Macaca fascicularis: one gene and its partner. The protein of the gene in region 1 interacts with the protein of each later gene in a pairwise test. Links are inferred from orthologs where the notes say so. Each region holds a gene or a part of one and is shown on either strand. Other genes may lie near its edges.

Evidence for each region.
Region 2: the proteins of FCHSD2 (region 1) and ABCF3 interact in binary tests that used the Homo sapiens proteins (3 or more experiments, as listed by UniProt). The two-hybrid records come from large-scale screens. The link is inferred for Macaca fascicularis from reciprocal best matches to the Homo sapiens genes FCHSD2 and ABCF3.

Annotation. Positions count from the first base shown.
Region 1 is NC_088388.1:71,690,423-71,697,484, reverse strand, and holds part of FCHSD2 (F-BAR and double SH3 domains protein 2), read left to right. Parts: intron 1-2,951; coding exon 2,952-3,068; intron 3,069-5,079; coding exon 5,080-5,184; intron 5,185-7,062. UniProt on the Homo sapiens protein: Adapter protein that plays a role in endocytosis via clathrin-coated pits. Contributes to the internalization of cell surface receptors, such as integrin ITGB1 and transferrin receptor.
Region 2 is NC_088376.1:96,106,614-96,112,788, forward strand, and holds part of ABCF3 (ATP-binding cassette sub-family F member 3), read left to right. Parts: coding exon 1-25; intron 26-247; coding exon 248-345; intron 346-444; coding exon 445-567; intron 568-724; coding exon 725-991; intron 992-1,316; coding exon 1,317-1,397; intron 1,398-1,484; coding exon 1,485-1,544; intron 1,545-1,643; coding exon 1,644-1,700; intron 1,701-1,810; coding exon 1,811-1,833; intron 1,834-1,943; coding exon 1,944-1,999; intron 2,000-2,112; coding exon 2,113-2,313; intron 2,314-2,409; coding exon 2,410-2,486; intron 2,487-3,556; coding exon 3,557-3,601; intron 3,602-3,680; coding exon 3,681-3,813; exon of another isoform or gene 3,814-4,011; intron 4,012-5,129; coding exon 5,130-5,218; intron 5,219-5,325; coding exon 5,326-5,417; intron 5,418-5,605; coding exon 5,606-5,738; intron 5,739-5,794; coding exon of another isoform or gene 5,795-5,869; coding exon 5,870-5,957; intron 5,958-6,045; coding exon 6,046-6,175.

The DNA of each region.
Region 1 (7,062 bases):
CCACTGCACTCCAGCCTGGCCAACAGAGTGAGACTCCGTCTCAAAAAACAAAACAAACAAAAACATAATTATCTATACTAGATCCTGATTTATATTGATCTTTGATAATGAAGGTGGTATTGGAACATTTCTCTGTGTATTGTTTAATACCCTGGGCTGTATTCGCCTTGTATGAAATTCTCAGTTGTCAAGACCTGTCTCTCAGGAGCTTCCACATGTATTCCATGGCTTGATTTCAGAATTCATGAAAAGGATAAATTAATTTGAATTTTAGTTTTGTGTCATTCCCTACCCAAAGGATCTCAAAGTCACATCTTCCAATCAGTGGCATTAGTTATCTGTCCTGATCATTGGACTCCCAAGTCTTAGTAAACACATAAAAAATAAGGGAAAAGCTCTATCTTGAGCGCAGTGAATACTCAATAAGAAGGTATAAATTCTGTAAGGCAAATTGGGTTTTGGCCCATCTGCAGCCAGCACACAATGTAAACCCCTTTACCTATTCCTAAAATGCTGCTCAGTAATAAATGTCTCTGGCCGGGCGCGGTGGCTCAAGCCTGCAATCCCAGCACTTTGGGAGGCCCAGATGGGCGGAGATCAAGACCATCCTGGCTAACACGGTGAAACCCTGTCTCTACTAAAAAATACAAAAATCTAGCCGGGCGAGGTGGCGGACGCCTGTAGTCCCAGCTACTCGAGAGGCTGAGGCAGGAGAATGGCGTAAACCCGGGAGGTGGAGCTTGCAGTGAGCTGAGATGCAGCCACTGCACTCCAGCCTGGGCGACAGAGCGAGACTCCGTCTCAAAAAAAAAAAAAAATATTAAATGTCTCTATCAGTTGCCTCCTTTCTCATCCAGCTACTCCCTACAAATTCATTCTCTTTGAGATCTGCCTTAATCTTTCAATATATCTTCAATCTTTGTTTTGGATTCATTGTTTACACTATTAAGAACCTAGGAATTATCTGGATTTTCTTATGAACAGTAATGAGAAAATTTTTGTTTCAAGTAATTTTCAATTGGGCTTTTAACATTAGCAGTTACCATTACTGGATGCTAAGATATTATGTAGATACTATACCAGAATGTTTAAAATATGACTTCATTATAACCTACCAACCCTACGGAGATAGGTGACATTTTCACTAGTTTTCAGATGTAGCTACAACTCAGATAATTAACATGCCCAAGATCATAAAGCTAGTAGTACCATAAAATGGCCTACAGTGGATTCAAACTAAGTCTATCTGACTCAAAAACCTATTCTTGGACTCTTCAGAATTTATCTTTCTACTTTTACAGATCACTTCCTCTGACTTTTGTATATTTCATTTGTATCTATGTCCAGAGTTAACATTTTAATGTTCCTGACTTTGAGAACAGATGTAAATTGAATGCCCAGACTCATTTGCAAAGCAAAATATAATAATAAAGTTCATTCCCATTAGAATATAAAATGTGAATGTAAAGATGGTTAGGTTTGAATTTTGATTATTTTGCTCTATTTAAATTCATTTGTCATTGTTATAATCTAGCTTTAGCTGAAATATCTGTATAGAACAAAAATTTTTAAACTCTGCCCCATCACAATTCCCCCAACAAAAATATTAATTTTTAAAATCCAGTTTATCAATTTCTACTTACTCTATCAATTTTGAACTATGAGACCTTGCAAAAGAATTACTAGGCCAGGTGTAGTGGCTCATCCCTGGCATTTCAACACTTTGGAAGGCCAGAGTGGGAGGATTACTTGAGCCGAGGAGTTCAAGACAAGCCTGGGCAACATAGAGAGACCTTATCTCTAGAAGGAAAAAAAAAAAATTAGCTGGGTATGGTGGCACACACCTGTAGTTCCAGCTACTCAGGAGGCTGAAATGGAAGAGTCACTTGATCCCGGAGGTCAACGCTGCAGTGAGCCATGATCAGAATTTCTAAAATTCTTTTCATTCTACAATTTTGCTTCTTTCTATATGAAAAGCCTCTTTGGGTGATTCATATTTTTTTAAAATAAATTCCTAATTATTTCAATAAAGTTTGTTTTTCAGGGGTCTTTAAGAATTTAGAGAGAATTAAAATAGTTTTGTGTTTAATGGCTCTGATTCTGTAATCAGACAATTACGGTTGTAACATTTAATATCTAGGACATCCAAGAAAAATTAACCTCTCTGAGCCTTTGTTTTCTTTTCTATAAAATGGTGTGGGACCCACGTCATAAAGTTGTTTAAAAAAAAAGTTATATGAATCACTTTCCATAGTACTTTGCACAATAGGAGTTAGCTATTAATATTTTTATTTAGATTTTGTGGTTTGTTCTTTGTAAATCAGAATCATAGCATACAGCTAGAAGAAACCCTTGGTGATCATTTTATCTAGCACCCTTATATTTCATATGAAGCCTGGAGAAAGGGCAAAAGCTGACTTTTAAGGTTTGGTGGCAAGTTGATGATGGACCTCTAACGAGTTCCATCTGCCTTGGGTTAGCAGGAGGGGTGCAAGATTGTGTTGCTGTTATTGTATTGTTTTGTTCTTATCTTTAATGATTCCTTACTCACATTGAAACTATTAAGTTGTTTCCATTTTTATTTATGCAATGATTTTATCACCATAGTAGGTTGGCATGAATACATTTTCTTCTTTGCTTACCTTAGCTAGCTTCCTTTTCACTCGGAAAGATAAGTCCGTCACACCCAAAAAGATAAGTCTGCAGTATTAGAGATGATGCTTTTGTGTTCAGCACTGTAAGACAAAAAGTTTATGGTCTTTAATGGTTTTATACTCATCTTACTCTTCTGGTAACTTTCTGTGACGATAAGACATTGTTTCCAGCAGTAGTGGAGTGTGCCTTATGTTTTGAGTGCTGATTAAGTGAAGGCCTTCTGATCCATCTACAAAGCAGTGGTGGTTGCAATAAAGATAGCAATATTTTTATCTCTGTTCTGTCTTGTGTTGTAGAGCCGACAATTAGAATCAGAAACTGGGACCACAGAGGAGCACAGTCTAAATAAGGAAGCTCGAAAATGGGCCACACGTGTGGCACGTGAGCATAAAAACATTGTTCATCAACAACGGGTAAGTATAAGAGAAAGTCCTAGTTACATTCACCTTAAGCCAAATGTCAAACAGTTTAAGGAGCTGAGTTTTATTAATGTGAAAAATATCCTATATGTGTTGTTTTGTTTTGTTTTGTTTTGTTTGAGACAAGAGGCTTGCTCTGTCACCCAGGTTGAAGGGCAGTGGTGTGAACATAGCTTACTGCAGCTTCAACCTCCTGGGCTGAAGCAATCCTCCCACTTCAGCCTCCCAAGTAGCTGGGACCACAGGCACACACCACCATGCCTGGCTAATTTTTTTTAGGTTTTTTGTAGAGATAGGGTCTTGCCATGTTTCCCAGGCTGGTCTCAAACTCCTTTGCTCAAGCATTGTATGTGTTTTTTCTGTACTTTCTCAACACTTAGCAGTGTGCTGTCAGCTATCTACTCATGTTGGAATTTCCTTAAGCCCTCCATCAGCAATACATTAATTCACCAGTTTACCATAAAATTGCCAAAGAAAAGCTGTGATAGTGTGTTACGGGCAGGGGAAGAGACATATGTTGAATTAATACAGGTTTTCATCCCTCAAGACATATTTTTTAAAGACACAATTATAGGTTTCATGAAAATATATGTTTGGCTGGGCGCAGTGGGTCATGCCTGTAATCCCAGAACTTTGGGAGGCTGAGGCAGGTCGATTGCTTGAGCCAGGAGTTTCAGACCAGCCTGAGCAACATGGCAAAAAACCCAGTCTCTACAAAAAATTCAAAAATTAGTCGGACATGGTGGCACACACCTATCTTCCCACCTATTCGGGAGGCTAAGGTTGGGGAGAATTGCTTGAGCCCAGGAGGTGGAGGTTACATTGAGGTAAGATCATGCCACTGCACTCCAGCCTGGGTGACAGGGCAAGACACTGTCTCGAAAGAAAAGAAAAGAAAGGGAAGGAGAAAGGGAAGGAGGACAGGAAGAAGGATGGGAAAGAGGAAGGGAAGGAAGAAGGGAGAAAATATATCTCAAAGACTAAACTCTAAGCACAAAGAAATTATTTTCAGTATAGTACTTTTTTTCTCAATTTCATTTATTGATACCTATATCCTTCTCATTCTTTGCTTTCACATCCTACTTCTTAAAAGAATTGCCTATGCTTATTATCTATAGAATCTCACCTCCCACTTACTTTTTAGCCCATTACATTTGAGCTTTCCTTTCCTTTCCTTCCCCCTGTATCACTTCATAGTCTAAGCTTACCAAAATCACCAATGATGTCTGTGTTGCTAACTTCAAAATGGACAGTTTGATTTCTCATTTTTCTTAATCTGTCAACAATTTTATCACAATTGACAACTCCCTTTGTCTTAAAATGTTATCTTCTCTAGTCATCCACGATTCAACATTGTCCTGGCTTTCCTTCTGCCTTTCTGGCTATTCCTAGATTTTTTCATAGTTTCCTCTTTCTCCAGCCCACAATTAAATATTCATTTTCTCAGATTGTTTGGCTATCTTGTTTTTTTTATTCTTTATCCTCATATAGGCATTCTCAATCACTTCCATGGTTTTACTTTACCACCAAATCATAAATTATTATCTTCAACATTGGGCCTAGCTACTACTGTGTATCCATATAACCTCTTTCCTGTTTTGACATCTTTTCACTATCTCACAGGCATCTCAGATTCAATGTTCTACTTATGTAATGTTGCTTAACAAACCACCTCAAACTTAATGCCGTAGAACAAGAGGGTTTTTACATTATCTCTCACTAATCTGAGTATTGGGTGGTCTCAGCTTAGCAGTTTCCCTTGGGGTCTCTCATGTGGCGTCAGTCAGACAGTGGCTGGTCCTGGCTTCCCCACTGAAGGGACTCTCTGTAGTAAGTTTGTTACTAGTAAGTCTATAATTATTTCAAAATGTTCAAAAAATAAATAAATGAAAAAAATTGTGGCTACTAGTCACTAAAGCCTTTTGAATTATGTAAATACTCTAATCACTTAAGGAAGATAAAAAGTAAAAAACAGTCATCATTATTGTCCCATTTTTTTTAATAGGTTCTAGATGATCTGGAGTGTCATGGACCTGCTGTATCAGAACAAAGCCGAGCAGAGCTGGAACAGAAAATAGATGAAGCTAGAGAAAATATTCGTAAAGCAGAGGTAAGGTGGCAGCTAACTGTGGCATTTTGCCCAGGTCTAATGACACTGTCGCAACTGTGATATGCACCTTTAAAACTGAGTTGCTACACACACTGAGATGAAGGTGATTCACCGTCTTCATTCGTGTCCACAGTAGGATTTTTTTTTTTTTTTTTTTTTTTTGAGACGGAGTCTCGCTCTGCTGCCCAGGCTGGAGGTGCAGTGCACGATCTCGGCTTACTGCAAGCTCCTCCTCCCAGGTTCATGCCATTCTCCTGCCTCAGCCTCCCGAGTAGCTGGGACTACAGGCGCCTGCCACCACGCCCAGCTAATTTTTTTTTGTATCTTTTTAGTAGAGACGGGGTTTCACCATGTTAGCCAGGATGGTCTCTATCTCCTGACCTCGTGATCCACCTGCCTTGGCCTCCTAAAGTGCTAGGATTACAGGCGTGAGCTACTACACCCGGCCATCCACAGTAGTATTTGTTAAGTACCTGCTCTGTGGAAGGCAGTACATATAACAAAAAGATGCCGTAAAGTTTACAGTCATGAAACATTAAATACAAAAGATTTAAGTCACAATGAAGATACTAATTTTAAAATTTCTACAAGGTACATAATAAACCACAGAGATTAATGGTAGAAAAATCGACGTATGTGTATCAATTTAGAGATATATATCAATTTAGATATATCTATCTCCTTATATATCAATATATATGGAGATATATATACATATATATTCATACATATATATTCAGAGCTTGGGAAATCTCCCCCATATGGAAGGTTCCCTGGATCCAGGGACATGAGCTGGGCTTTTAAGAATAGGGAAGATTTGGTTAAGCAAAGATGGGAAAAAATTTATAATAGTGGATTTTAATTTTTTATGGAGTCTTGGGACCTTTGAGAGTTGTATGAAAGCTGTGAAACATTCTCTCCCACGTACAAAAATGTACATTTTGTATACGGTGTTTAGAGTTCATATGCCTGAGGCTAATACTCTCTGCTCTAGATGGGGAGAGGTTGGGATAGGAAACAAGAAAGTATTAGCAAATGAGGAAGACACAGGGTATAATTTGGTAGCTGGATAGATTAGAGTGGAGGATTTTTGTGAGGAAATGTGATAGAAAATAAGTAAACTTGTTGTGGTTAGGGCCAGTTCATGGAGGACCCGTGCACACACTATCTACTCAGCAGCAACATGATGAAGGGGTATAGAGATAGACATTCATAAAAGACTGACACCATCCAGCCATCAAAAGATTATGTTCTTGTTAGAAAGGCATAAAGAATGCCAAAAATAACTAAGATGGTAAAGCATAAGTGCGGAGGAGTGGTGCATTAAGTGTAGTTGAAGAATCCAGAGGACACAGAAATCACTCTGGGAGGGATTGTTTTGGGTGTAACACAGAAGAAGACTTAAGATGAATACTGGCAGATGAATAGTATTTGATTAGTCAGATAAAAGGGGATAGCACAGACTTATGCCATGTAACTTCAAGAGGAAGAACTTGAACCAAAAGATGAAGGTAGGAAAGAAGTAGATGTGAGTTTAGTATTGGGAAATACTTTCTAGTAGTCAGATCTTCCCAAAGACAGGATAAGCACCCGTGAGACATAGTGTAGCCCTGTAAGTGTGTAAGAAAATTGTGGGCAAGCATCTTTCAGGGACCCAATGCAAGGAACCCCTGCATTGGTTTAGGGTTAATCTAAACTAGTGGTTTTCTAGCACCCCCTTAGAACTCTAGAAGTTTTGAGGAAGTGCTTCACTGGTTGTGGCGTGAAGCGAGAGGCAGCATAGACAAGCATAGAGAATATGGGCATGTTTTTGGCACAGCCCCATGGAAGTGATCTGAATCAGAACAGGCTTGCCATCTGCCTGGGCTGGAGAAACCC
Region 2 (6,175 bases), on another chromosome or scaffold:
ACTGCTAAAGAGGGAACAGTCCTCGGTGAGGAGGAGGAAGCAAGGGAGGGGACTGTGTCTGTGATGGGGTTGGGAGTTGACTGTCTAATTGGAGTATCTTTTTGGGGGATTTCTGACTATGTCTTTCCCTGAGCCTTTGAGTCTGTTCATCATGGGTAAGTTAAGAGGGTTTACTCGAGATGTTCTCTCTTGGGGTTCCTTTCTGAGCCTACACCCTAGAGTGAAGTAGATGTGTTTGGACCCTTAGACAGTGAATGCAAAGAAGTTGGAGAAGGCCGAGGCTCGACTTAAGGCAAAGCAGGAGAAGCGCTCAGAGAAGGACACGCTCAAGACCAGCAACCCTCTGTGAGTGGGGGAAGCATGGCCCAGAAGAGAGCGGAGCAGTTCTTGCCTGGACAGAAGGTGGTGGGGAGCATTAAGAGCTGTCCATTTCTCCCTTTAAAGAGTCTTAGAAGAGGCATCAGCCAGCCAGGCAGGCAGCAGAAAGGAGAGTCGGTTGGAATCATCTGGCAAGAACAAATCCTATGATGTGCGAATTGAGAACTTTGATGTGTCTTTTGGCGATAGGTGAGGGGATAGTGGTGGCAGGGGTTGGCTTTCTTTTTCTAATTAGAGGAGAATTTGGAGAGATGAAATGGGGCTACAAACAATGTGAGGTTTGTTGTTAAACTTGCTGTGCACCTATTTCTAGAGCATCTTTGGTCTCCTGTCTCCACTCCTGCAGAGTATTGCTGGCTGGAGCAGATGTGAACCTGGCATGGGGCCGCCGTTACGGGCTGGTGGGGCGGAATGGGTTGGGGAAGACAACATTACTGAAGATGCTAGCCACCCGGAGTCTGCGGGTTCCAGCCCACATTTCCCTGCTGCACGTTGAGCAAGAGGTTGCTGGAGATGACACTCCTGCCCTGCAGAGTGTGCTGGAGAGTGACAGTGTGCGAGAGGATTTGCTACGGCGGGAGCGGGAGCTCAGTGCCCAGATTGCTGCTGGCAGGTGAGGGCTTCCGGCTAGGGAGCAACCAGCAGCTGCTGTCCCTCACAGAGTGCCTGCCCTCCTGGAACAATCCATAATTTGCATGTCCATCCTAGTAATCCGCAGAGCTTAGAACTTGGCGCTCTGGGACTCAAAAGCCCTTGTTCTTTCCACAGTGCCCATTTCCATAGTGCCCAAGGTAATGAGCACTGTGCAAACCCTTCCTGTATTCTCTTCCTCTTCCAGCCACAAGGTAGCCAATGGCCTTCTTTCCAATGGTATAAGGTGCAGGACATCCTCCTAGACTGCCCCCACTTAGGCCAATTGCTGTTTCTCCTCCCTCCAGGGCAGAGGGCTCTGAAGCTGCAGAGCTGGCAGAAATCTATGCCAAGCTGGAGGAGATTGAGGCTGACAAGGCACCTGCTAGGTATTTAAAGCTCCCCCTCCCTCCTTCAGATTTCCTTTCCCTTCTGTGGACTGTTCCAACTGAGTTCTTCAATTTCTTCTCTACTAGGGCATCAGTCATTCTCGCTGGGCTTGGCTTTACCCCTAAAATGCAGCAGCAACCCACCCGGTGAGTGACCCTTGCCATTCTTGGCCTTGAACCCTGTTGTCTCAGCCGCTTCCTGCCCTGATGAACACCCACCCCTAATGTGGCTCCATCATTCTTTAGGGAGTTCTCAGGTGGCTGGAGGATGAGGCTGGCCCTTGCCCGGGCCCTATTTGCTAGGTGAGTTTTCTGGGCCAGTGTATGAAGCCCTATGGAAGATTGGTCTTAGCTCTTGGGAGGTGGCATGAGTTGCTGACCTAAAATCTCGTGCGGTGTATTCTTTTTCATAGGCCAGATCTTCTGCTGTTAGATGGTGAGTTTGAAATGGGGTACCCTGACTTTAGAATGGACGGGGGTGGTAGCATCCAAGTTCCTAGTTCTCCAGCCCTTCAATCCCAAGTGTGTGCTCCCCTCCTTCTCCAGAACCTACAAACATGCTGGATGTCAGGGCCATACTGTGGCTGGAGAATTACCTGCAGGTGAGTGCCTGTGGGTGCTGGAGTGGGTTGGGGAAAGTCGGCTTCCAAGATACCTGGGGGCCTGAGAACTGACTGCCCTCCCAAACTGGGCCTGCTGTCCTGTGACCCCTCAGACGTGGCCCTCCACAATCCTAGTCGTCTCCCACGACCGCAACTTCTTGAATGCCATCGCCACGGACATCATCCACCTGCACAGCCAGCGGCTAGATGGTTACCGGGGAGACTTTGAGACCTTCATCAAGAGTAAGCAGGAGCGGCTGCTCAACCAGCAGCGTGAATACGAAGCACAGCAGCAGTATCGCCAGCATATCCAGGTGTGGGGCCTGGCAGGGCTGGGGGTCCCATCCCAGGGGTTCTAGAGTGGGGGATGTGGGGGAGTTTGACCAATGCCTGCACTCTTCCACCTGCAGGTTTTCATTGACCGGTTTCGCTACAATGCCAACAGGGCCTCTCAAGTGCAGAGTAAACTCAAGATGCTGGAGAAGCTGTGAGTACAGCATCCTTGGCCAGGCCTTGACTCCTGTTCTCTCGGTCTCCTTCCTCATTTGCAGGCCACCCTTGCCCTACCATTCCAGGTCTCCCCTTCGCTAGAAGCCACCTGTGACTTCCTCCTCTGCTGGGAGGCAGAGTATTCCACATTGTTCTTGGAAGGCTAATCTTGACTAGCACGTGGCAACCACTAATTTACTTCCTGTTTCTGCTTCTGTGTATCTGCTTATTCTGGGCGTTTCATATAAATGGAATCATACAGTATGTGACCTTTGTGCCTGGCGTCTTTCACCTGGCATCATGTGTGAGGCTCATCCATGTTGTAGCGCGTGTCAGAACTTCATTTCTTTTCGTGGCTGGATAATATTCTATTGTATGGATATACAGCATTTTGTTTATTGAGTCATTAGGGGACATTTGGGTTGTTTCCATTTTGGTTATTATGAGTAATGTTGCTGTGAACACTGGTGTACAAATTTTTGTGTGGTCATATGTTTTCAGCTTGCTTGGGTGCATACCTAGGGACAGAATTGCTGGGTTACATGGTAATTCCACATTAATGTTTTGAGGAACTGTCAAACTGTTTTCTAAAGCAGCAACATCATTTTACATTCCTACCAACAAGGAATGAGAGTTCCGATTTCTCCACGTCTTTGGCAACACTGTTATTGACTGTTTGTTTTTTTAGTTTTAGCCATCCTAGTGGCTGTGAAGTGATAGCTCATTGTGGTTTTGATTTGCATTTCCTTAATAACCAATGACAGTGTGCACTGGGAGTTTAACGTTGAAGTGCCCTTTCTATAAGTGCTGGCAGGAAGCTTAAAATCATAAGGCTTAGATGTTTGCAATGTGGAAACATATCACGATATAGTAACTGGGGGTAAAAAGTCACAAAAAGCCTAATTCTATTTTTTAGCATTTAGTAAACGAGAACAGTGTACTCTAAAGTAATGATACCTGAGTGGTAGGAGTACAAGCCCTTTCTAAGTTTTCTCTGAACATATATTACTTGTGTAGGAAGTTATTTTTTTAAGTCATAAATCTAGTCTACCTGATCTCTTCCCCCAGGCCTGAGCTGAAGCCTGTGGACAAGGAATCAGAGGTCGTAATGAAGTAAGTGCTGGGCCAGTGGGGTTGGTGGGGAATTGCTTGCTTCCAACTGCCCCCACATCCTCACCCCTACCTCCTGCAGATTCCCTGATGGGTTTGAGAAGTTCTCGCCGCCAATTCTGCAGCTAGATGAGGTGGATTTCTACTATGATCCGAAGCACGTCATCTTCAGTCGCCTCTCCGTGTCTGCTGATCTCGAGTCTCGCATCTGTGTGGTATGGCTGCTGTTTCTCTGTGCTGTGAGCTGGGAGTCTCCCGTCTCAGTGTGTGGTGTGGATTGGCCCAGATCCTCAAGCTGTAAAGGGATGAGGTCCATGGAACAGGAGAGAGGACCTGGGCTAAGGACTTTGCAGGACTTATACTAGCCACGTCCTCTGGCCGCACAGCGCTGCTCTTCAGGGAGGAAGAGCCTGGTATATAGTGTTTTAAAAATACTTAAAGCAGTGCTTTACCTTATTGATCTCAGTTCTGAGTTTTCTAAATCTTGAGACATTGAGGAGACAGCATGGGCTTCAGGGTCAGACTTCGGATCTTGACTATACCATTGCCTAGCTTGGTTACCAAGCAGCTTCCTCATCCTTAAGATGGCGCTGGCATCTACCTGGGATGGTATTGGAAGAAGTAAGTCCCCCCCAGCACTTAGCAAATACTCAAGTATTGCTCCCCTTAGTACATGTATTTTTCTTTTTTTTTTTTTTTGAGACAGAGTCCCACCCTGTTGCCCAGGCTTTTCTATGGCACGATCTTGGCTCACTGCAACTTACGCCTCCTGGGTTCGAACAGTTCTGCCTCAGCCTCATGAGTAGCTGAGATTATAGGCATCTGCCACCATGCCCAACTTATTTTTTGTATTTTTAGCAGAGACAGCGTTTCACCATGTTGGCCAGGCTGGTCTCAAACTCCTGACCTCAAATGATCTGCTTGCCTCGGCCTCCCAAAGTGCTGGGATTACAGGCGTGAGCCACTGCGCCCGGCTAGAGTCCTTAAAAATATTTTTTTGGTTGTTGAAGGAGTCATTGGGACTGGGGACTGCCTGAGACCCCTTCTAATTTCCTTCCCTTCTGTGTTACACACAGCGGTGCTCTTTTTATTGATACGTAATTATACATGTTTATGGGGTACAGAGTGATATTTCCATACATGTATACAATGTGTAATGTTCGAATCAGGGTAATTAGCATATTCACCGTAAACATTTATCACTTTATGTTGGGAACATTCAAAATCTTCTAGCTTTTTAAAAATGTACAATCAGTCATTGTGAACTGTAGCGTCCCTGCAGTGCTGTAGAACCCTCGAACTTATTTCTCCATTCCTCCTATCTAGCTACAATTCTGTTTTGGTTAACCAACCTCTCCCGATCCCCTCTCTCAATTCCCCTCCTCCCCGCTTACCCTTCCCAGCCTCTAGTAACCAGAACTCTACTCTCTACTTCTATGTGCTAAACATTTTCTAGTGCCCACATATGAGTGAGAACTTACAGTATTTATTTTTCTGGCACACACTGTATGACGTTTTCACGTTTCTTAAGGTTGGAGAGAATGGGGCCGGGAAGTCTACCATGCTGAAGCTGCTTATGGGGGACCTGGCACCTGTTCGGGGCATCAGACACGCTCACAGGTCAGAGGCACCCCCGCCCATGAGCACATTTGCAGGCACCCATGCTTCCTGCACTCCTTCATGGCTGTTGCCTTTGTCTGCTTTTCCACCTCGGTTTCTGTCTTCAGGAATCTGAAGATTGGCTATTTCAGCCAGCACCACGTGGAGCAGCTGGACCTGAACATCAGTGCTGTGGAACTGCTGGCACGCAAGTTTCCTGGTGAGTTGGAGATTTGAGTGGGGAAAGAGGGATGAGGCTGACCCCGGCAGCTAGACCTGCCTTGGAGTGAGTGCAGAGCAGCCCTCCCAAGCCTAGATGGAAGGACATGGGGACTTGGAGGTGTGGCTGGAGGGTACAGGGAGGGAGTTGGGCCAAGAAACCACCTGATCTGGGGAGTCCTTTTCCAGGGCGGCCTGAGGAGGAGTACCGTCACCAGCTGGGTCGGTATGGCATCTCCGGAGAGCTGGCTATGCGCCCTGTTGCCAGCTTGTCTGGGGGCCAGAAGAGCCGAGTGGCCTTTGCTCAGATGACTATGCCCTGGTGAGGCCTCATTTTCTAGAGCTCTTCCCCTCCCATTTCCCCTTCTTGCCCAGTAGAAAACCGTATCAGAAGGCTTTATTTTCTCTCACCGCACCCCTTCACTGCCTACCTTCCTGGGTTCTGCCTTCCAGCCCCAACTTCTACATTCTGGATGAACCCACAAACCACCTGGACATGGAGACCATCGAGGCTCTGGGCCGTGCCCTCAACAATTTCAGGGTGAGTGTGCCTTCACCCTGCCCACTCCTCCCCAGGCCTCGGTGCCTCTCGTGTCCCCCTCAGCACCTCCTGCTCTCGTGTCTTTCAGGGTGGCGTGATTCTGGTGTCCCACAATGAACGCTTTATCAGGCTGGTGTGCCGGGAGTTATGGGTGTGCGAAGGAGGCGGTGTCACCCGCGTGGAAGGAGGATTTGACCAGTACCGCGCCCTCCTCCAGG